Pelodiscus sinensis: one gene and its partners. The main gene of each other region encodes a partner of the protein of the gene in region 2 in a complex. Links are inferred from orthologs where the notes say so. Each region holds a gene or a part of one and is shown on either strand. Other genes may lie near its edges.

Evidence for each region. Proteins that work in one complex are often made in the same cells at the same time.
Region 1: MFAP1 (region 2) and ZMAT2 share a complex: the UniProt entries of both Homo sapiens proteins name them as parts of the spliceosome B complex. The link is inferred for Pelodiscus sinensis from reciprocal best matches to the Homo sapiens genes MFAP1 and ZMAT2.
Region 3: MFAP1 (region 2) and SMU1 share a complex: the UniProt entries of both Homo sapiens proteins name them as parts of the spliceosome B complex. The link is inferred for Pelodiscus sinensis from reciprocal best matches to the Homo sapiens genes MFAP1 and SMU1.

Annotation. Positions count from the first base shown.
Region 1 is NC_134727.1:1,797,281-1,805,063, forward strand, and holds the start of ZMAT2 (zinc finger matrin-type protein 2), read right to left. Parts: upstream 3,094-7,783; 5' UTR 2,944-3,093; coding exon 2,926-2,943; intron 1-2,925. Other genes in the region: histidine--tRNA ligase, cytoplasmic-like, read left to right, coding at 3,410-3,502, 4,394-4,483, 5,889-6,008, 6,279-6,374, 7,333-7,458. UniProt on the Homo sapiens protein: Involved in pre-mRNA splicing as a component of the spliceosome.
Region 2 is NW_027466027.1:125,063-133,071, reverse strand, and holds the start of MFAP1 (microfibrillar-associated protein 1), read left to right. Parts: upstream 1-4,994; 5' UTR 4,995-5,098; coding exon 5,099-5,177; intron 5,178-5,506; coding exon 5,507-5,726; intron 5,727-7,392; coding exon 7,393-7,522; intron 7,523-8,009. UniProt on the Homo sapiens protein: Involved in pre-mRNA splicing as a component of the spliceosome.
Region 3 is NC_134716.1:58,660-66,471, forward strand, and holds the start of SMU1 (WD40 repeat-containing protein SMU1), read right to left. Parts: upstream 3,094-7,812; 5' UTR 2,968-3,093; coding exon 2,942-2,967; intron 2,074-2,941; coding exon 1,863-2,073; intron 1,180-1,862; coding exon 1,027-1,179; intron 1-1,026. UniProt on the Homo sapiens protein: Involved in pre-mRNA splicing as a component of the spliceosome. Regulates alternative splicing of the HSPG2 pre-mRNA. Required for normal accumulation of IK.

The sequences.
Region 1 (7,783 bases), on a different chromosome or scaffold from region 2:
AAGAGAAGCCAAGTGCGATGTCATTGTATTTGAGGGATAAGATTTTCAAATCAGAGATAGAGACTCATGCCCTCCCAAAAGCCCCTCATCCAGCTCAGAATCTAACAGATCTTCTTGAATTTGCATGGAAAGCTTCCCCGCCTCTGAGGGGCTTTCAGAAGAATAAGTGTCTCTCTCTTTTTCTGGGCTTGGGATAAGATTGTTAAATCTCCCAACTTCTCTGTTTGAAGTTTAGCTGTAAATACAGTCTCTTCTACTGGGGAGAAAAACGATATTTGTCCAAGCACATTTTGCAGGGAGAGAGGGGGGACGCTCCACCTCCTTCAATTTGTGGTTCAGAAGATCAGGGTTTCTCTGAGCTTTGCTTGGGGCAGAGAATGGTGTCTCTCCTCTGCTTAGGTCCATTTTGTTTCATTTTGTTTTTATGGGGAGGGAAAAGATCATGGTGAATTCTCCCTACGTATCTTTTTGTAATGTTAGAAGAAAGAAGTAGTGACCATAAATCTGCCCCTTTACCCACAAACACTTTCAACACAGACTATAACCTGCCGAATAGGGATGTTAAATTTAGATTAATGGGCTAATCGAATAGTTGATGCACTGACTAGTTGATTAATCAATAAGGGCACCTTCCCCTTTGAAGTGTAGCAACAGCTGCAGGGCTGTTGCCCCACTTCAAAGGCAAAAGTGCTGCGGGAGCCCGGGGTCAGTGGGCTACTCAAGCAGTTCCCCACTGGTCCCATGCTCCCTGCAGCATTTCAAAATACCAGCACCACTTGGAGCTCAGGGTCAGCAGGAGACTCCCCAGCAGGCCCCGGACTGCACGCGGCGCTGCTGTTTTGAAGCACCCCCACCTTTTCCCTCACCCCTTGCTGCCTCTTTCTGATAAGAAGCAACTAGTTGACTATCCTGTCAACTATTCAATAAGTATTTGCTTGTGGATTAATTGTTGACATCCCTACTGCCGAATGTATACTATAGCAATTCTTAGAACCCAGACTTACACGAAATTACTGATCAAATCTACACTCATGCACATGATCTAAGCATGCTGTTATCCACATAGATCTGTCAAAGTATTTACACCTACTAGAAACATATCTAAACATATCAATGTAAATGTCAACAAAGATCAAATAAGTTACAATCATTCAGGTATCAGAGGGGTAACCGTGTTAGTCATTCAGGAGAAGTCACAAATCAAACAGTGTTTTTATAGTTAAATTTTAGTTTTAGAACAGCTTAAATTACAAACACTTAAGCTAGATAATAAGTGGCTGAGGGGATTTCAAAGTAGTTATAAAAGAATTAGAGACACCCCTGCAGGACGCACTGCATCACAAAGAAGCCACTAGATAGATACAACCACATCCCATTTTACTACTAATTAAGGGAGCAAATCTGTGGTCCAACTTTGTCAGAAAAGCATACAGAATGCTTTGGCTCCCACAGCTCAGTTACACTTGCACTGTGGTAGGTAAAACTTTTTTGGGGCAGGAGTGTGAAAAAACACACCAGATCAACCAAGTAAGTTTCAGCAACAAAAGCACTGGTATAGACAGTTCCATGTTGGCAGGAGATGCTTTCCCCGCCACTCGTGAGGGGTGGTTTAATTAAGAGGATGGGAGAACTGTCTCCTGTTGGCATACAGCAACTACATGGCTGCCTCTCGGGTCTGTAGTGTTCACGGAGTTTAAATAGAAATCTTACACCTACAGTCCTACAAACAAAATTCCACATGCACAGAAGAATTGGAGTCACAGAACAAAAGTAAGATGAACCCCGCCCTTGTTAGCATACCTAAAAAACAGCCTCTGCACTTCTGGTTTGATCTCAACTAAAGCAGCAATGATCCTACTGCAACGCAATGGAGCAAAATCTAAAGCTGAATAAGTATTTAGAATGGATTAACACCAGTCCCAGATCTCAGCAACATTAACTAGGGATGTAACAGAATAACTGTTTACATGGTTAACCAATAAGCCTGAGTTTATTGGTTACATGAATGGTTACATGCACATTCCTGCTCCACTCCTGGGGAACCAGCTGCCACCCTGCACTACTAGCTCTGTATTAGAGCACAGAAAGCAAAGCAGGAGTGCGGGGCAGCAGCTGGAAGCCTGTGTGCACTGGCTCCCAGGGAGCTGGCTACTGCCCCATGCTGCAGGTGCACGTAACCGCTGACATTTCCAGTGGTTACACGGTTACCAAAATACCCACTTTTTAACATCCCTGCTATTAACCGCCAACCAAGGAAGGAAATGTCTCCCAGAATAACTGACATCAACAACCGTCAGGATGTGACATCAACCCCCAGAGCACGAATCGAGGGTTCTCAGCCAGGTCACCCGGAGGTCTTCGGGGGAACATCAACTCATCTAGGTACTTTCCTAGCTTGTCTGTAACTGGGCGGCAGCGGAGGGGTCCCACGGGGATTCCCTGCTGTGACCCCTCCCTCTGGGGCACCTGGGACTGGCCCGGGGGCCGCACACAAAGCACTCGCCCAGTGCCCGGCCCCCGACAGGCGGGGCCGGTGCCACAGCCGCGGGGGGAGGGCGCTCGCGGGCACGGGGCTTGCCGGCGGGAGGAGACGCGGGGGCAGGACCCGGGCCCCGGACGGGCGCGGGCCCGCGGGATGGGGGGGCTGGAGAAAGCGGAATGGGGGGGGCCCGCGGGATGGGGGGGGCTGGAGAAAGCGGAATGGGGGGGGCCCGCGGGATGGGGGGGGCTGGAGAAAGCGGAATGGGGGGGGCCCGCGGGATGGGGGGGGGATCAGCGGCTCGCGCCCACGTGCGGCCCCGCGCGCAGCCCTCCGCGAACCCCGCCTGGGGACCGGCCCGCACCGGGACCCGCAGCCTCGCGGGGTGCGAGCCGGGAGCGGCAGCAGCCCCGGGCTCCCCCGCGCGCCCCGCTCTCGGCACCTACCCCGCTGCCCGACGCCATGTTGGATGGGAAGCGAATAAGGAACCAGACGGTGCCGTACGCGGGCAGCCAGAGCCGTAAAGTGAGCCAGTCCTCCCGAGCACCATCGAGGGGCGGCCGCGTAGCTAGAGCGTAGCGGCGGCGGGTGGCGACCGGAAGTGGATGTTCCGGGCTCCGTGGCCCGGGTGCTTTTGAGCTTATTTTTGTGCCTCTCGGGAAAGGCCCCTGAGGCGGCTGGTTGCAGGTCAGAGGGTCGTCCCCGTGCCGACCCGGAACAGCTCGGTCCGCCCGGCCCGGACGCTCTAGCTCTGAGGAAACGCACAGGAGGCCCTGAGACTCTATGGTTAGAGTCAGCTACTCTATGGTTGCCCCGAGCCTGAGTCCTCCGGGGCGGGCGTCAGGGCAGAGGGGGCCGGGGCCGGCTCCGCCCGCGTCTGCCTCGGGCCTCCCCGCCGGGAGCCTTCGGGATCCGGCCGCCGCCTGAGCCATGAGCTGGCTGCGCCCCCTCGCCGCTCGGCTCCGCCCGCGCCTGGCGCCGCACTGCGGCCTGCGCGCCTTTGCCGGTCACCCCCAGAACCAGGTGAGGCCCGGCCCGGCTCCGCCCGCCTCCGGGCGCGGGGCTTTGGCTCCGCGACGGGCCGTCGGGAAGCAGGGAGCAGCACGGGGCTGGCGCCGGGATCCTGCCGCCGGGTCGCTCCCATCCTCCCTGCTGGTGAAAACCTCCCCTGGAATTGCTGTGGGGTCCGAGGGCGGCAGCGCGTCTGGCTCGCTGTCCAGCCCCGTGCGCACCGAGCAGTGAGCGCAATCGGGCCGTCAGCTGAGTGCTCTGCCCCGATCCCCGCTACAGGACGGGGGAGGCAGAGGCAGCAGACCTGTTGCGTCTCCTGCACGTTGTCCGGCAGGGACTGGTAGAGACTGTTCTGGCTGGGTAGAAAGTGATGATTCCGATTTGGGAGTCTTCTAATTTATCTGAAAAGCCCAAACAACTCACTGTACTTTCCACTCTGTAGTCACTAGGCGTCAGTGGCTCCCAGATTTCCATTTAAAATGACTTATGCAAGAAAAACTAGTAGAAGCAAGAACTCCTATTACAGTGGAGCTGTTATGTATATTGCTTGTAGCTGTGTCAGTCCTGAAATAATAAAGAGACAAGGTGGGTGAAGAGATGCCTTGCACTGAACCAGCCGCAGTTGGTGGAAGGTACAAAGCTTTTGAGTTACACAGTTGTAGTCTCAGAAAGGAAATATGTTGGGGACTGATTAAGAGGAAAAGAATTTCATTCCCAGACCCCCAAAGGTAACTCTCCACCTCTTTAAAGTGGAGCTGTTAGTAATGAAGGAAACTTCCTGTAGGCTTTGTAGTGTCCCCCAATCGAGCTGACTTTGTGCTGCCAGAGGATGGAGAAAGGTCTGCAGGCTCTCAGGAGTCAGTGTCATATGCTGTTTATCAAAAGTCTTTTCTCCATTTCTAGGTGGCAGAGGGCATGGTAAAGCTCCTGCAGCCAAAGACACAGGTGGGACCTGAGGAAAAGAAAAATAATTTTGTTCTCAAAACCCCCAAGGTAACTTCCCTTCTCCTTCAGGGATGTGGGTCTCTCCTGGGTTGTTTTCTCTCCTGGCTCCCCCACCCTATCTCCTCTACTAGCATATGGTGTAAGTGCTCCCATCCCTGAAACTACCCTTTTCCCGCTTGTTATCCTGCACTCTGTGGGACAGTGGGATGCACAGTTTCCCTCAACTCCAGATTCTCAAGCCTAAAATTCTTTCTCTTTTTCCCATTCCATTCCTTCTTTCCAACTGACTCTTCTGCTAAGAGCACAAGTAAATGAGAAATTAGTGCCTGGCAAACAGGGGCATACATTTACCGTACACCAGCTCTCCGTATGGACTCTGTGAACTAAAAGTTCCCTAATCTCTCAACTAGCAGCAGTTCCAGCGAATCATCAACGTGTATTCTTGGTCCAACTACCCATTATAGCACCAAACTTTTGAGCACAGGAGCTTTGAGCAGCTGAAGGAGCTGAGAATACATTAGATATTGGATGGATTTACTGTTGCAGGTTGGTGGTGAAGGAATGGAATTTCGACACCGTATAGATCCAAGCACGAGGGTTTATTATGCACAGCGCCGGCAGAGTATCACTTCGCTCATTAGGCTCAGTAAGACACTGCCAAACAATTGATTACAATAGATTACATAGGGTGCCAATGAGCCTCTGAATATGTTCTAGCAGCAAGACACAATTAGCACAATAAGCCAATAATCTAAAAGGTACATCATTGCTCCGCCCATAGCTCAGGTTAACATGTTTGCTATTACACTGGTGTTACCCCTCACACTTCTCCTCTTGCAAGGTGTAAGTTAAATCCTGATTTCGGGTCCATAGAAATGATTATGGCACTTCCCAGATGGGTTGGCCGCAGGTACATTCCTAGTGGGTCTTAAAGCAAAAAGAACAGTAAACAGTACACAGCAACGACAGTTGTGTGTAGTTATCACTGCATCCTCTTCAGCTCTGGTTGGCATCTATATGAGGTTGCTATAACTCAGGCTGACATGCTAGCCCTCTCCTTGAACTCTGGTTGGCGTTCGGGGAGTGTGTACTTGTTATCTCTTTCTGAACCACGGAGTCTCCGAGGTTCCTCTCTGTGAATTATGTGCCTGTAACTCATGATAAGTGCCCAATTACTGCTCCCTGGGTTGTTCTGTCTTAGGTTGTTTATGGCTGGTTAAACAAACATGTCTGTTTCTTGCTTATCTCAATCTTTCTTTAGCCATGTATTGTCCATTGTTAACTAGGCCTCATGCCTCAGACCAGACCCCCGGAGTTTGGGCATATGTGAAAGATTCTTAACAGAGACTATGGTCAAGATCTTACATACATATTATTGGGATTTTGGCCCTTCAGGTGGCTCTTCACTGCTAACATTTTTCTTCTCACCCACTTGCCTTTGGTTTGCTCTCAGGGCACCAGGGACTATAGCCCCAAGCAGATGGTCATCCGGGAGAAAATCTTCAACACCATCATCAGCTGCTTCAAGCGCCATGGGGCTGAGGTCATCGACACCCCTGTGTTTGAGCTGAAGGTGAGGGCAGGGCTGCAGCATGACATCTGTGCTGCTGGAGGTGCTGAGCCCTGAGTCAGACGTGCTCCATAGCTTTGTCCCGTGAAATGTTTGGGTGAATTCTAAGGGGCAGTAGCTGCTAGTCATCTGCCTGGGATTCACTCAACTGATCACCTCTATAGTCAGGCACAAGGATTCTCCCTGCTTTCTCTCTGGGAGCTTCTTGCTCTTATTTTCTGTTTCTGGTGCTCGTCCCCTCTCACCTGACGCAGCTGTCTTGCTTTTCTGTAGGAAACCCTGACAGGGAAGTACGGGGAGGACTCGAAGCTCATCTATGACCTGAAAGACCAGGGGGGAGAGCTGCTGTCTCTTCGCTACGACCTGACTGTATCCTACCAGATGTTCCTGGGAAGCACCATCTCATCCCAGGATTGCTGGTGTTTCTTAGGCAGGTGTGTGGGATGGAGGTGGGGTGGAGGTGAGGACATGCTGGAATCTGTCATCTCCACCTAGCTGAGGAGGAATGTGTCTGCCAACTCCACCCTGTATACGTTCATCCCATTCCTCCCCTGCGTTTCCCTCGTAACTGCATCCATGGCATTGCCCACGGACACCTCTGTCTTGACTCCTCCTTAGCCAGACTTTCATCCCTCCCGCCTGCAACAGCCTGCTGCAACTCCCGTCTCTAGGAGCAGCAGCTAAGTCCCAACCTTTCCAACTCCAGCATTCCGAGAATTACTGCTAGACACACAGTGGTGACTACATCACCCCGTCCTCAAAACTAGCTCCCTGCTGACTTCCGATCTGTACGTTGAAACCGTCCATGGGCTTGCTCCAGCGTTCTCCCTGGACATTGATCTGCGCTCATCTTGGCCAGCCTCCTTTCTGACTCTTCATATGGCCTCCCTACTCTGAGTGAATGAGCCGTTGCCTTTGTTACTGCTGCCTAACGGGTCATCCATCCAGGGCCTCTGTGCTTCACTGACTGCAGCTCTGTTCACATTTCACCTGAAAGCATCTTGGCTCCCTTCTCCTCATTGTATTATGTACATAATTCCAGTTTGTATCCTGGCAGCTAAAGAATGCAGCATCTGTTCAAATGACCCACCAAAGAGGCTATTTGTTCTGGCTGCTAACTTGGTGAGATGACTAAGGTGCTCTTCTAGGGACTTTGCTGTCCTTTAGGACAGGTGGCCACAGTTTGTGGGTGACCTTTAGCGCGGGCTTTGCCGTGGTGTTGTGTTGTACTGGCTTAGCAGCTGTCTGTAGTGATAATGGGTCTGAATGACTGGCCATGGGCTCTCTGGGCCGCCTCTAGGTTCCATCCTTAACCCTTTGCGCTCAGGTGCCCTTTGCGCGTTATTTGGCGATGAACAAAATCACCAACATTAAGCGTTACCACATTGCCAGAGCTTACAGACGGGATAACCCAGCCATGACGAGGGGCCGCTACAGGGAGTTCTACCAGTGCGTGAGTACCAGCAGCCTGAGCGCTCTCCAAGCGGTGGGAGCTGTGTGTGCAGGCCCAGGGTTCCCCGTGAACTCTGAGAAGGGTCTGTCTGGGGTCCTGGCTCTCCACAAAGCACCGGGGAAGTGGACAGGGAGGACGAGGGCTCTGTGTGTGTCGGGCCTGTTGTGCAAAGCGAGGTGTCTCACAGATATAATATTAATAAAACGCTTGTTACTGTTACATCAGTTAAGTGTGGGCCAAGGTTTTATGTCAAGTTATCATTGGAGACTCCCACTGTAACAACCACCATTAACAGTCTTGTCAACATTTTATTAAAAATACAGGC
Region 2 (8,009 bases):
TGTGCAGAGCATCTAGGCTCCACCCTGCCCGGGGGCCAAGCCACTCGCTGCCTGGTTTGGATAACAGTTCACAGGCCTGTGGGAAGGGCAGAACAAGGGGGGTCCACAGGGCTCTGTTTTGGGACCGGCTCTGTTCAGTATCTTCATCAGTTATTGAGATATCAGCAGAGAGAGGACGCTCCTTAAGTTTGCAGATGATCCCCAGCTGGGAGGGGTTGCGACTGCTCTGGAGGACGGGTCAGAATTCAAACTGATCTGGACAAACTGGAGAGCTGGTCTCAGGTGAACAGGACCAATGCGAAGTGCTCCACTCGGGAAGGAACAATCCGTCTCACGCACACGGTGGGGAGCGACTGTCTGGGGAGGAGCCCTGCAGACAGGGTCTAGGGTCGATTTGAAAACAATGGGAAGGTGGGTGGGCAAAGCCCGCTCACGTTCTAAAAGCCCCTCCCCAGCCTTACGGGAGGGACAACTGGACCCGTGTCCAACTGATTACAGGGGACACATAATGACGAAAGGATCAAGGAGTGCGGGTCACAGGTTCAAAATAAGGGAACCAAATGGGGACACGGAGCAGAGAACCCTGGACAGCGCCCACTGCTCCTCAAAGCTGTCGATGGAGCCAGTGGGCGCCACCCAGAGGAACTCTGCCCAGATATGTGACACAAGGGAGGAACAGAAATAGGCCCCACAGTCGCAGAGACCCCCTCGTCCAGCATCCTCCTCCTGGTATTAGAGATGGCGGCTTTCGCTAGGGCCAGGAGGAGGGTGACGAGGAGGTCTTGCGACTTTGTGGGGCCACGGATGGGGTGTGCATAAATGAAAAGGTGAGGGGAAAAGTGCAGCCAGAACCTCAGTAAGAGGTTCTGGAGGAGCCGGAATAGGGGCTGCACCCTGGCGCACTCGAGGTAGGCGTGGGCCAGGTTCTCCCTCACGCCGCAGAAGGGGCAGGTGTCCAGGATAGGGGTGAACCGCCCCAGGTGTCCAGGATAGGGGTGAACCGCCCCAGGTACACACCCGTGCTCACGGCTCCATGAAGGAGCCGCCAACTGATGTCTCCGATGGGCCGCGGGATTAAGATGGAATAAACGCCGGCCCCTCGGGGTTCCCCACCCTCAGTGGATCTGAGGTCGTCCCGCCACTTGGCATGGGGGCGGGACACGCGGGTGGGGAAATGCAGGGTGTGGAGCAGGAGCGTGTGCAGATGTTCCCTGGGCGCGGTTTGCTGCAAGTTCTGCAGCCGGCTGGGGGTCCAGGGACGGGGGGGCCGATAAAAAGGGACGGGGGGGTTGCAGGAGGGGAGGGGCGGGGCGCAGGGACGGGGGGGTTGCAGGAGGGGAGGGGCGGGGCGCAGGGACGGGGGATTGCAGGAGGGGCGGGGCGGGGCGCAGGGACGGGGGGGTTGCAGGAGGGGAGGGGCGGGGCCCAGGGACGGGGGGGTTGCAGGAGGGGAGGGGCGGGGCGCAGGGACGGGGGGGTTGCAGGAGGGGCGGGGCGGGGCGCAGGGACGGGGGGGTTGCAGGAGGGGAGGGGCGGGGCGCAGGGACGGGGGGGTTGCAGGAGGGGAGGGGCGGGGCGCAGGGACGGGGGGGTTGCAGGAGGGGCGGGGCGGGGCGCAGGGAGGGGGATTGCAGGAGGGGAGGGGCGGGGCGCAGGGACGGGGGGTTGCAGGAGGGGAGGGGCGGGGCGCAGGGACGGGGGGTTGCAGGAGGGGCGGGGCGGGGCGCAGGGACGGCGGGGCGCAGGGACGGGGGGGTTGCAGGAGGGGAGGGGCGGGGCGCAGGGACGGGGGGGTTGCAGGAGGGGAGAGGCGGGGCGCAGGGACGGGGGGGTTGCAGGAGGGGAGGGGCGGGGCGCAGGGACGGGGGGGGTTGCAGGAGGGGAGGGGTGCAGGGACGGGGGGGTTGCAGGAGGGGAGGGGCGGGGCGCAGGGACGGGGGGTTGCAGGAGGGGAGGGGCGGGGCGCAGGGACGGGGGGGTTGCAGGAGGGGAGGGGCGCAGGGACGGGGGGTTGCAGGAGGGGAGGGGCGCAGGGACGGGGGGTTGCAGGAGGGGCGGGACGCAGGGACGGGGGGGGTTGCAGGAGGGGAGGGGCGGGGCGCAGGGACGGGGGGGTTGCAGGAGGGGAGGGGCGGGGCGCAGGGACGGGGGGGTTGCAGGAGGGGAGGGGCGCAGGGACGGGGGGGTTGCAGGAGGGGAGGGGCGGGGCGCAGGGACGGGGGGTTGCAGGAGGGAAGGGGCACAGGGACGGGGGGGTTGCAGGAGGGGAGGGGTGCAGGGACGGAGGGGTTGCAGGAGGGGAGGGGCGGGGCGCAGGGACGGGGGGGTTGCAGGAGGGGCGGGGCGCAGGAACGGGGGGTTGCAGGAGGGGAGGGGCGGGGCGCAGGGACGGGACGGGTTGCAGGAGGGGCGGGACGCAGGGACGGGGGGTTGCAGGAGGGGCGGGACGCAGGGACGGGACGGGTTGCAGGAGGGGCGGGGCGCAGGGACGGGGGGGGTTGCAGGATGGGCGGGGCGGGGCGCAGGGACGGGGGGGTTGCAGGAGGGGAGGGGCGGGGCGCAGGGACGGGACGGGTTGCAGGAGGGGCGGGACGCAGGGACGGGGGGTTGCAGGAGGGGAGGGGCGGGGCGCAGGGACGGGACGGGTTGCAGGAGGGGAGGGGCGGGGCGCAGGGACGGGGGGGTTGCAGGAGGGGCGGGACGCAGGGACGGGGGGTTGCAGGAGGGGAAGGGCGGGGTGCAGGGACGGGGGGGTTGCAGGAGGGGAGGGGCGGGGCGCAGGGACGGGGGGGTTGCAGGAGGGGAGGGGTGCAGGGACGCGGGGTTGCAGGAGGGGAGGGGCGGGGTGCAGGGACGGGGGGGTTGCAGGAGGGGAGGGGCGGGGCGCAGGGATGGGACGGGTTGCAGGAGGGGTGGGACGCAGGGACGGGGGGGTTGCAGGAGGGGCGGGACGCAGGGACGGGGGGTTGCAGGAGGGGAAGGGCGGGGTGCAGGGACGGGGGGGTTGCAGGAGGGGAGGGGCGGGGCGCAGGGACGGGGGGGGTTGCAGGAGGGGAGGGGTGCAGGGACGGGGGGTTGCAGGAGGGGAGGGGCGGGGTGCAGGGACGGGGGGGTTGCAGGAGGGGCGGGGCGCAGGGACGGGGGGTTGCAGGAGGGGAGGGGCGGGGCGCAGGGATGGGGGGGTTGCAGGAGGGGCGGGACGCAGGGACGGGGGGGTTGCAGGAGGGGCGGGGCGCAGGGACGGGGGGTTGCAGGAGGGGAGGGGCTGCAGGCCGAGAGCGGCTGCTCCTGGAGTAGGCGCAGGGGGCCCGGGGATCCCCCCCCGTAGTCCAGAGGGCCTGGGCTGTGCCGCGGGCTGGGCGCCGGGGGGGCGTGTGCCAAGGCCCCAGGGAGGGCAGGCGGGGCTGGGGGAGCGCCCCCCCCCGGCTCTGGGCCCCCCCCGGCTCTGCCCCCCCCCTCGGCTCTGGGCCCCCCCGGCTCTGGGCCCCCCCGGCTCTGGCCCCCCTCGCTCTGGGCCCCCCCGGTTCTGGCCCCCTCCGCTCTGGGCCCCCCCCGGTTCTGGCCCCCCCCCCGGCTCTGCCCCCCCCCGGTTCTGGCCCCCCTCCGCTCTGGGCCCCCCCCCGGTTCTGACCCCCCCCCCGGCTCTGCCCCCCCGGCTCTGGGCCCCCCCGGTTCTGCCCCACCCCCCGCTCTCGGCCCCCCCCCCGCTCTGGGCCCCCCCCGGTGTTGCATAAATTGCTGGTTTCGTCCCCTTGGAGGCTAGTCTGATTTACCCCAAGAAGAGAGTCACACTTTCAGGCTGGGTCCAACTCAAGTTTATTGGTTGCAACCAAGGTACGGCTAAGGAACTCAATGTTCAAAGCAGAGCCGACCCCCAACATCTCATAGGCAGGGGTTTTTATAGGGTTCACATCTTTCCTGGTTTAGGTGCCTTAACATGATAGGTTACTTCATCTTTGACATTTAGCATTCCTATAGGTCAGGTTAATTTTCCAAATGAGGTTAAATACAGTGCCTACTTGCTGAACAATGGGCGAGCCATACTTCCCTTTTCCCTTTCCTGCTTGAGCCGGTCACAAGTTTAAAGGATGTGGAATCTATCCATATCTCCACTTAACAGAAGACTGGATTCACCTCCCCTCGTCTCCTTATTACAAGTTATTACCTGTGACAGGCCTTGACCTTTGTCATGTCTTACTCCGATACAAATAGCAAATATATCTAAGCATTAGCAATGTATGTATATTGTACGTGCCCCTCATAGGGGAATCAATGGCTCCGGGGGTTTTGACTTCCCTTTTACACATCACCGGTTCTGGGCCCCCCCGGCTCTGGGCCCCCCCGGCTCTGGCCCCCCTCCACTCTGGGCCCCCCCGGCTCTGGCCCCCCTCCACTCTGGGCCCCCCCCCCGGCTCTGGGCCCCCCCCGGCTCTGGCCCCCCTCCACTCTGGGCCCCCCCCCGGCTCTGGGCCCCCCCGGCTCTGGCCCCCCTCCGCTCTGGGCCCCCCCCGGCTCTGGGCCCCCCCCGGTTCTGGCCCCCCCCCCGGCTCTGCCCCCCCCTGCTCTGAGCCCCCCCCGGCTCTGGGCCCCCCCGGTTCTGCCCCACCCCCCGCTCTCGGCCCCCCCCCCGGCTCTGGGCCCCCCCCGGCTCTGCCCCCCCCCCGCTCTGGGCCCGCGCTGCAGGCGGATGCGGGGCCGGGGAGCCCCGGGGCAGCGATTCCCGCCGCGCATGCAAATAGATGCAAATAGATGCAAATAGCTTCATCCCAGCGGACGAATCGCGGCCTAAGGGCAGCGCCCCCTGGCGGGCCCCGCCCAGCTACTGCCAGGGCACGTGGCCGAGTCTCCAGGCACCCGGGGGGGAGGGGTCGGGCGGCGCGAGGGACCCGATTCCCCCTCCCCCCGGCAAATCAACAGCCGGTTCCGGGATCAAGTCCCCACCCGTAGTGACGTACTTCCGGCCAGCGGGCGCCTGAGCGAAGACAATTTCCGGGTCGTGGCTGTGACGCTCGGCTGGTTCCGGTTCCGGTTCGGGGCGCGATCGCAGCCGCTCTTGTCGGTGTCGGAGGGTCCCGAGTTCGGGCCAGAAGCCGCCGCCATGGCCGCGCCCAGCGCCCTCATGAAGCAGCCGCCGATCCAGTCCACGGCGGGGGCCGTGCCCGTCCGCAACGAGAAGGGTGGGGGGGGGCTCGCGCGGGGGGCGGGGGGACATGGGGGGCTCGGGCGGGGGGACATGGGGGCGCGCGTGGGGCGGATGGGGGGGCTCGCGGGGCGGATGGGGGGACATGGGGGGGCTCGGGCGGGGGGACATGGGGGCGCGCGTGGGGCGGATGGGGGGGCTCGCGGGGCGGATGGGGGGACATGGGGGGGCTCGCGCGCGTGGCCGGGGGGATCTGGGGGTTTGCACGCGGGAATTTGGGGGCTCTCACGGGGGGGCCGGGGGGCTGTGGTCCCCGTGGGGCCGGGGCGTTGAGGTCTGGTCTGGGGTAACCCCTCCCCCTGGCAGGTGAGATCTCCATGGAGAAGGTGAAGGTGAAGCGCTATGTGTCGGGGAAGCGGCCAGACTACGCGCCCATGGAGTCCTCCGACGAGGAGGATGAGGAGTTCCAGTTCATTAAGAAGGCGAAGGAGCAGGAGTTGGAGCCAGAGGAGCAGGAGGAGGATTCAGCCAGCGACCCCCGCCTGCGGCGCTTGCAGAACCGCATTAACGAGGATGTGGAGGAGCGGTAAGCCCCTGCCCATGACAGCCCTGCTTTAGATTGTGTCTACGCTGGCAAATGAGCCACAAAGGTTTTGTTGTTCATGGGCGTTTAAAAAAACAACCCTGACTGACGAGCCTTGTTGTAGCAACCGTTAGGGTGCGTCTGCACTACGCCGCTTTTAGCAGCAAGGCTGTGTCCACACAGCCCTGTGGCTAACAGTCAGCTTGTGAGAACGCTGTTGGTACTTTTGTCAGCAAAATACTGCCACCTCCAAGGAGGTTTTGCTTTGTCAGCAGCAGGGCGCTCTTGCTGACAAAGCGGCGTTTACACTTGCATTTGCCATGGAAAAACTTTGTCGTTCATGGGGGGGCGGGGGGGAGTTAAGCATCCATGGATGACAAAAGTTTTATCAGTTGAGTGCAATTATAGATGCAGTATTAGGGTAAAAAGTGCTTTGTTGGCAGGAGTGCTCGCCAGCTGATAAAGCAAATGCTGCTCTTGGGGAGCGAAAGTATTTTATCAGCAAAGGTGACTTTTGGCAACCCAGCCACGTAAGGTAGACAAAGCTTCAGTCAGACACACCGCCCATGGTGTCCGGCCCGCCTGCCCTGATGTACACTGACAGCTGTAGATACACCTTTGTTATATTTTCAGGAGAGTTTCTCTTTGTGAAAGACCTCCCTTTGGAGATGACTCTGCCAGAGTGCTGTCCAAGGGACTGTGTAAATAAACTAAAATATGAATAAAAACATGGAAAGAAAGTTTTTTGTTGTGGTAGCTACACTTTGCATGAGTCTTTTGTGGAAATACATTTTTCAGGTGTGTAACTTTTTGGAGTGTCCCTTTTTTGTTTTCCCCACATCTTAAATTGAGGGGTCTGAGGAGGAAAAAACAGCTTTGTGCATTGGCACAAATAATTCTTTAGATGTAGATTATTGCAGTTAGTAAGCAAGTTCTGAAAGGTGTCATAAGTGGTACAGCTAGCTCTTCACAGGAAGGCAAAATCTAGAAAACAGGACAACATTCTTGTATGGAGATAGGGAGTATTATATTACTGAATCTCATTGAGAAAAACAGATAGTTGAGGTTTTATTTAACTCTTCTCTAGTCAGTAATTCATATCTATTCGGAGTAGCCAGGTCAGTTCTAGAATTGCTTCAGTCTTTAGCGTAGCCAGCGAAGAAGCAGGAGGATCCCAATGGAAGCTGTGTTTTCTGCAGTGGAAGAAACAGGAAAGTCTGTTCTGGAGCAATCCACCTACTGCTTCTACTGATGCCATGTAAACCAACCTTCTGAGAAGAATTTTACTTTTTCCAGGCTTTGCTGTGATCACTGTGACTGTAGGCCAGGCACTCACAGACTGTCCATGAGAGTTCATGCTGTAGCATCATATTCAGAAGAGCTCTGGTTGTTACAGCATGATTATATTTAGGATACTGGTGGGTCTAGCCGCGTTTTGTAGTTACTTGAACAGCTGAGATTAGCATGTGTTCAGTGTGGTGTACTGAGATGCATCTTTGCTGTGGTTCCTGGAGCCAGAACAGTGGGGTCTGGAGGGTTAGGACAAGGCCATTGTGTAGCTGGAAGCGCTGGCTTGGATGTGTGTGTGGGGACTTCAGTTTGTAGATGGGCCATGCCTATGTCACTGCTTTGTGGTAGCTGAATTGCTAACTTTGGTGTCTGTGCATAGACTGGCAAGGCACCGCAAAATTGTGGAGCCAGAAGTGGTTGGAGAAAGTGACTCAGAGGTGGAGGGAGAAGCTTGGCGTTTGGAACGGGAAGACACCAGCGAGGAGGAGGAGGAAGAGATTGACGACGAGGTATGTGCAGATCCACAAAACATGCTGCAGATGCGCTGCAAGCTCCGGTTTCCCAGGATCTCTCGGCAGAGGTTCCACAGGGTGGAGGCTGGCTCCCTGCAGCAGGAGGCAGTACGAGGTCTGTGGGCAAATGGGACTGGCTAATACACGGCCGGTCTGTCGAGAGGTTAAAGGAGGGTCTACAGGTGGCCTTGCCTTGCCTTTGGGTGTCATGGGCTGAGAGGGACGGCTCTCTCGTGATCAGTAACCGATTAAAGGATAGGAGATGGGCTGTACTGGGTTGGGTGCAGTTCAACATTTGCAAGTCCAAAGCTGATGGCAAAGCCTTACAAAGGGACCGCACGGCAAATGCTTACTCGCGCAAAGCACGGAGACTCGGAGGCATCGCCATGGGATGCTGGTAGCCAAAACTAAAGCTGGGTTTTAATCTACCCTAGAGAAATCACTTCACAGAGGACAGGGCTGTTAGCCAAGCTGGCCAGGCATG
Region 3 (7,812 bases), on a different chromosome or scaffold from region 2:
TCATTTCCTAGAAGAATTGTGTCATAGAACACTGTCATTTTTACTAAAAATAAAATACAACTATAGGTTGAATCTCTGTAATCCAGACTTCCCTACTCCGGCAGAACCCTTAGTCCAGCATCATTGGTGACCCCCATGGATGGTTCTGGGACTAAGGATGTTATATTACGTTTAATCAGTTAATTGAGTAGTTGATGGAATTTCCATCAACTTCTCAATTAGTCAATAAGGGGGGAAACTGCAGAGCCATGGCAGGGCTACCTCCCACCCTGGGAGCTAATTCTGCTGCGGCTCTACCTTTCAAATGTAGTAAGAGCTGGGCAGCTCTTGCTATATTTAAAAAGCAGAGGCACCATGTCTGGGACTGGACACAAGCCAGGACAGCTGAGTCTCTGCCTCCCCTGTGTGCCCCCCCCCACAGAGACGGTGCTGGGGGGAACTGACTTTTAAGTCGGCTCCCCACAGCACCAACTCCTGCTCTCCCCACGGGGAGATGTGACTAAGTAATGACTTGACTATCTGATAAACCTAGGCTTATCGGGTAGTCGATTAGATGCTTACATTTTCAGATTGACAAAAGCATTTTCAGATTGACAAAAGTAGAAAAGTATTGTTTCTGGCACTATAAAGATGGGAAAATAGGTACAGAGTGATTAGGTGACTTGCCCAAAATCATATCGAAAGTCAGCGGCAGAAATTAAAACTGAATTTGATCTCCAACTCGGTGTTTTAGCTACTTGTGAATATTAAAAAAAAACAAATTCATGAAGTGCTTAGTAGAAACTTCAACAAACACTAACAACTGCAGTATCATAACAAAATAAAAACAAACAAATACAGAATTTGAGAAATGGGGATGGTTTAACACAGGAAAATCTGGAAGGAAAAAAAACACTAAATAGAGCAAGCTTTTCTTTAATAAGTGTTACACTAGTTACAAATGCAAAAGTGTTACGCTAGTTACAAATTCTCCAAGCAAATCATATAAGTATAACTTTTGTAAAAAATTCCACAAACACAACTTACTTCACGAGGGTCAAAGTAGGACCTAGCCAGGAGATTCTCAAGGTGAATGTATCTCTCTGGCTGAGTCTGTTTTAACATGATCATAGGATCAGTTTGCCTCAGAAGGGATCTGGCAGCACCCAATTCACGGAGCTCTATTAATTCCAGAACAACCTGGAGTAACATAAACAAACTTAGTATTCACACGATAAAATGCAACTCTTATGTTAACAGTTAAACAATGGAATAGCATTTACTACTGCAAAGTAGGGATGTGATAGTGTATCTGATTAAACAATTAACCAATAAGCACGTGCTTATTGGTTAATGCCACTGGTTACACACAGTTCCCTCCCCTCCTCCTTGCAGGCTGGCTCAGTCCTGGCAGCAACTCCCACTGTGGCTCTGCATTAAAATTGTTTTAGGAGCCAGCTGAAAGTAGTGCAGAGCCACAATGGGAGTAGCTGCACGGACTCCATCTCAGTCTTCCAGGATCATTAATTCATTATTGATGCTGAAGGTATGTATTTAACAAATATCCCAAGATGAACTTCCTATCTATAATTTAAAAAAAATAAAAGCATTAAAAGATTTGAGAAACGTATCAGGGAGGAAGAAAGAGTTTAACAATTAAACATACAGTTCATTTCTTCCCCACAACCCTAGTTTTATCCTTGGTGGGAATCTATTCAGGCACTCATCCAGTGCTGCAAGGCATGCATTCAGGCCCAGGACCATAGAGTAATTTTCCCTTGTGACATTCTGATAACTTTGATTTTGTAGTTAAGGGCAACAGAGTGATGTTCATAAATGCACAATAGAGCATATGGCTGATACTATGTTGGTGACACATCCACCTGTTCATAGAGGTCAATCAGGGTCTTGTCTGGAAGCTTGAGGGACTGTATAGCCTGTAACACTGTGTCCCAGTGCCCACTGTTGATGTCTGCCACAAAGCTCTCAATGCTGTCCACAGTGTTGAGGGACACAGTGGTCTCCTCCTGGAGAGTGGCCAGTGCACGATGAAGGCTATTCTCCTTCAGGTACTGCATAATGAGCCGGATCACACTAAGGGAGAGTGGGGGAGCGAAGACAACACAGAGAGAGACAGGGATCAGGCTCAAGCTCCCCTCCTCCAGCAGGTCACCACAAGCAACAAGGCCAGTGTACTCAACCCACCCCCACCGGTAACGGGCCCCGGGCCACCCTTCCCCAGCCCGGTACCCGCCCCCCCGCCGGTAACGGGCCCCGGGCCCCCCTTCCCCGGCCCGGTACCCGCCCCCCCCCGCCGGTAACAGGCCCCGGGCCACCCTTCCCCAGCCCGGTACCCGCCCCCCGCCAGTAACGGGCCCCGGGCCACCCTTCCCCAGCCCGGTACTCGCCCCCCGCCGGTAACGGGCCCCGGGCCCCCCTTCCCCAGCCCGGTACTCGCCCCCCGCCGGTAACGGGCCCCGGGCCCCCCTTCCCCGGCTCGGTACCCGCCCCCCCCCGCCGGTAACGGGCCCCGGGCCACCCTTCCCCGGCCCGGTACCCGCCCCCCCCCCGCCGGTAACGGGCCCCGGGCCCCCCTTCCCCGGCCCGGTACCCGCCCCCCCCCGCCGGTAACGGGCCCCGGGCCCCCCTTCCCCAGCCCGGTACCCGCCCCCCCGCCAGTAACGGGCCCCGGGCCCCCCTTCCCCGGCCCGGTACCCGCCCCCCGCCGGTAACGGGCCCCGGGCCCCCCTTCCCCGGCCCGGTACCCGCCCCCCCCGCCGGTAACGGGCCCCGGGCCCCCCTTCCCCAGCCCGGTACCCGCCCCCCCGCCGGTAACGGGCCCCCCTTCCCCAGCGGGGGAGCAGGCCAGTCACCCTCCCGCAGGCCGGCACACGCCAGTTACGGGCCCTGCCCGGGACCCGCCCCCCCAGGGGTCCCCGGCTCCGCCCCGCCCCGCGCTCACTCCGAGGACTCGATTTCTATCGACATCTTCAACCGCCCAGGATCGCCTCAGCGCCCACCAGACAGAGCAGCAAGCGCCACTTCCGGCCTCGCGCACACCTACTTCCGCCGGAGCGTCTGGCTAACCTCACGTGACCGGCCTAGCGCGCCCTGAGCCCACGTGGCCAGGCAGGCGAGGGGCGGGGCTTCGCTTCTGACTGTTGGTGGATTCCCGCCTTGGCCGCGTGGCTCGTGCGGCGCTCTGGGCCTGGCCTCGTTGCCTGCCGCTCTCTCGAGTGCCCCGCCCGCGGGCCTCGCCTCTGGCCGGCGTGTGCGCGGCAGGGGCTCGCGGCGCGGCCGTTAGAGCTGAGCGGCCATGGGCCTCGGCCCGCGCCGTGTCCTAAGGGCCGCGCCCCGGCTCGGGCTCCCCGCTCCCGCGGCTAGAGCCGCCCCGCGCCTGAGGCGTGTTCCCGCGCGCACGGCTGAGGGGTGTCAAGGCGGGAGGAGGCAAAGCGGCAGAGCTCAGGCTGACTGACGCCATTGTACAGTGGGGTGTGGCGGGTGGACTGGACAAGGAGCCGTTAGTCCCTGCTCTGGGCAGAGGGAGACCTGCCCCCCCCTCCCTGCCGTGCGCGCGCCAGCGGGAAAGGGAGCAGCTCAGCTAGTCAGTTGGAACCACTGAAGGGAGCGGATGCACACTGCAGGCCCCGCCCAGGAGCCGTTGGCCCCACACCATGGAGGCTAGCCGTGCTAAGGCCTAGGCAGACGCCAAGAGATGGAACCGTTGGAGCTTCCACAGGCTGAGCACCATGGACCTTGCCCCTGGAAGACAAGGTAGGACGCAGCCTGAGACCAGCCATTGGTGCAGTTGTATAACAGAGGAGGAAGTGCTTCAGTTGGGTCCCTTCCGACTCCTGATGAGTACACACACACACTGATAGGGCCCACGACTGCAACCTGATGGAGCAGTAAAGGCCTGGGTTCCCTTACGCATTAGCTCCCTGGATGGTTGTCTCGTCTCCTCAGGCCACACAGACAGGTTAAGAGGGTGGTCATACTAATTAGCCACAAGGCCAGACAGACTTGTAGGGAAGGGCAGCTGTTTTCACTGCCCTGAGGCTAAAGGCAGGCTCACTCATCTGCAGAGCTGTAACACCCTTTTCCCTGCCTCAAAGGGGGACAGAATGTGCTTGCCACAGGGGGCGTGGGAGAGAGGCTCAGATATTTAAACTTGCCATTCTAAATCTGAAACTTCCATTGAAAAACAGGGTTTTGTCAGGAAGGAATTGTAATTTTGCGAAATTTGTACAAACAGTGTTGGGTACTTTTTCTGTTGAGTAGAGCAGCCATGAACTCTCAGGTAGGATTTGAGAAGGTTGAAGAAGTTGTCTTGCAGTTAAAGATGTAACCCAAATGTGATGTAAAATGTAAGTTCCAGTCAGAACACAAGGGGAGAGACGTTTTTTGTCTTCCTTAGCAACACGCACTTTGTGGCAGTGCTTCTCTGGGCCCACTTGTCTCTGGAATCTGTTAGTAATGCCCAGATTTCTCTTGGGAGGTTGAGTGCATTGTCTGTTGGAATCCCAGGCCACAGCTTGAGACCAAGTGACTGAATTATCCTGAGAGCTGGGTGCTTCCCAGTTTGCATAGGAGTGTGCTGTGCTACTGCCCTGCAGCTAGCTTGCTTTCCAGTAATCTACAATGTAACTGTTGATGGAAGAGTTCTCATACTTTCCTGCTGTATGTGATGAGTTAGGACACTTCTGTAGAATCTCCATCACACTGATTCAAGTGACCCTGTGAACTTGAAATCTAGTGAGTGACAAAAATTGAGTTAAGCCATTAGATATGCTCACCCTTTCCCAGACACTTATACACATACACATTCCTGTCCATATTTGCTGTTTTACAATCACAGATTTGGGTTTTATCATTGCTTTTCTCTCCTCCTTTGAAAGGCCCACAAGTGGGGAAATCTGATGGGCTCATACAGGAGGAATAGATTGGTTCTATAAAAAGTGCTCTCCAGTGTACCAGGTAAAGGAGAGGAGAGACCTCTTTCCTCTAATATTCTAGTTATAGTACTCTGATTTGTAGGTGGTAAAACTGGCATGTGAAAACATTTTAATACTGTATTTAAGTGACGGTACCTTTCTATTGGAGAAAATTAAGCAGGAACTTGGACCCTTTTATAGTTCCTTTGAATTGGAGGGACATACTGGCTCTGAAATGGTGTTTTATGGGGGACATTCTTCTGTGCAGGAGTGTTGCCATTTGTTCATTGTTCTTTCACCTACATAAGAAGTTGGAAAAGCAGTGCAGTATTCCTTTGTATTGGCGAATAAAGCCAGCTATTTCCGTCTGAGTTGCCTGGCTCAATGGTGGTGAGTTCTGTTAAATCTTATTGATCCACTTCTCCTCTGTCAGCTATGAATATCAGCGCTGCTCCTATTGTCAGGGCTAAACAGTATCTCTGTGAAGTGCAGTGTTTGTGGCTTACCATGATTCAGAATTCTGACAACTCACAAGCTCTGCCTACAGAAATACCCAATGGAGAAAACTGAGACCTGTCTTAATAGTTTGAGCTCTGAGTCTATAAAACCAGTTTGTAATTGTTTTAAAATTCTTCTCTCTTCTTTGAACCTTCTCTAATTTATCCACATCCTTCTTGAACTGTGGAACTGGATACAATATTCTAACAGCCTTTGCACCGGTGCCAGGCTGGCCAGGACTCATCACAGAGTTCAAATCACGTGGTTCCTTTGTCACCTACAGAGAAGGCTGGAGTCTCCCTGTTCCTTATATCCACAAAAGGGTTGTCTGTTTCACAGGTTAGCAAAGCCTCCTGAAGATTGGCTCCTGTCTCAGGGGTGCAAGAGCCATGTTCATTCTTTGGCTGTCAAGTTCCAGCTCAAGATAACCCCCACTTACTTTAATTGGATAGCTTTGTTTAATGCTAATAAGTAAATTGAGAGAACCTACATTCCTTTCTCTAGGACAGACCTACTTATAACCTTTACTGAGGCTAGGCTGTCTGGTCTTAAACATGTTCAGTAACATCACTCAGAAGGAATTGATAATGTTATATGTATCATTAACACATACACTTTACAATAATGTTAATGAAAGCTTGTTGTTAGTTTTCGTATGACATCTTACACAGTGTTTTTGGATAAATACCATGACAGTAGTATATGGGAGTCATAGGTTAATTGGATCTAAGAAGAAACAGTGTACCCTGTGCCTGGGGTATGAAGAGCTGTTACAAGTTGCAGTTTGATCTTGCAGTTGCTGGTCGGATGTAAGTAATTTGAGACAGGTTTGATGCAATATTTTGTGTATTCTGCTGTTCATGTTTGTTCATTATAAAAGTGTCTCAGTGGAAGACACATGACAGTGCATTAACTTGACTTAGCATTAGAGTGGCAAAAATACAAGTTCCAACTTGATTAAGTCTTTACATTTGCCACATATATTGCTTTTGGCTTCAGAAACAATTACCAGACAACTGTATTTTGTTGGGTTTTTTTAGCCAGCTTCTTAGGGTTTTGTTCCTATCTTTTCCAAAACTTCTCTTAAAATAACACAGACCTTCTCACGAAGAGTTGGAAGGTAGGAATTTAGTGCTGTATATTTGTGTGTACTGGAGATACATGAGGGTCTGTGATGCATATTTCTCTTCTTGGCAACAATAGCAATTTGGGCTTGTTTTCCAGTCAGAAAAATCCAAGCACAAGAAGTGTCTCTTGAGCTCTGCTGTAGGTCCCAGTTGTCCAAGTCGATTCTATAGCCATGCAGCAGTAAAGATCTTTTGAGACATTCCTGCTGCCAATTCCTAGGATTGACCTTTTCGAGGCTAGGTGCAAAGATTTTTGCCATTTGATTTTGCTCCTCCAACGGGTTGGTCTGATAGTTTATGAGGGTTAGTTTTTTACCTATGACCACAATCTTGTTCATGCTTCCTAGGCAGCAGCGGTGATAGTGGTTTCAGCCACCCTTTTTGGGTTCTGCTTGTTCTGTCACTGCTCTATCTACTAATAAGAGATTAAAGTAGCAGGTGCTTTTAAAATAGAAACTGAAATAAGTAAATAAAATGGGCCAAATGTATCTGTTAGTTACAACTTTGCAACCCCACCAATTCTATTGGGATATGGCACAGGAATAAACCAAATAAACTATGCTTTTGTACCTAGTTGACCTAAGTTACATGGGCCACTGTAGCAATTGAATATGTTTTTCATATCCCACCCTATGCTATTTGTGTCAGTGGAGTGTGTGTCACCCTACACTGCTTGCCCTGATTGAACTACCAGTGTGAGGCATTGTTGGGCAGGCATCAGCAATTGATGTAAGCAACACATAGTGTCTGCACTGGCACTTTATTGGCCTAACTATATCAACCCAAGCGCTATCCCTTTCATGGAGGTGGCATAACTTGCCCTCTACAATGACTTAATAACATTTGTGGGAGCTACATGCTAAATGGTCTATTTAGAACCCACTCTATGAGCCTCATTTAGCATGGACACTCTAACCTACCATATTTCCCCCCGCCCCCCATTTTTTCTTTCTCTTTCTTTCCCCGTCCTCTCTCTTTCTCTGTTTTTTGTACCTTGGATCCCTTAACTTCATGCTACAGGACTAGTAGTTTTTAAAGTTTTTTTTTGGCCACTAGATATCGCTGATCATTCACTCAACAACTAACAGTTTTCTCAGTTCATCTGAAAAAGTGGGTTGTGTGCATGAAAGCTCATGATACCCTATACATGTTTTGTTAATTTTAAGGTGCTACAGGACTATTTGTTGTTTTATAAGTTTTTCCAGTTATAGACTAACTTGGCTACACCTCTGAAGTTTTTTCAGTATCATTCTAGTTTTACAGAACTTGTAGAA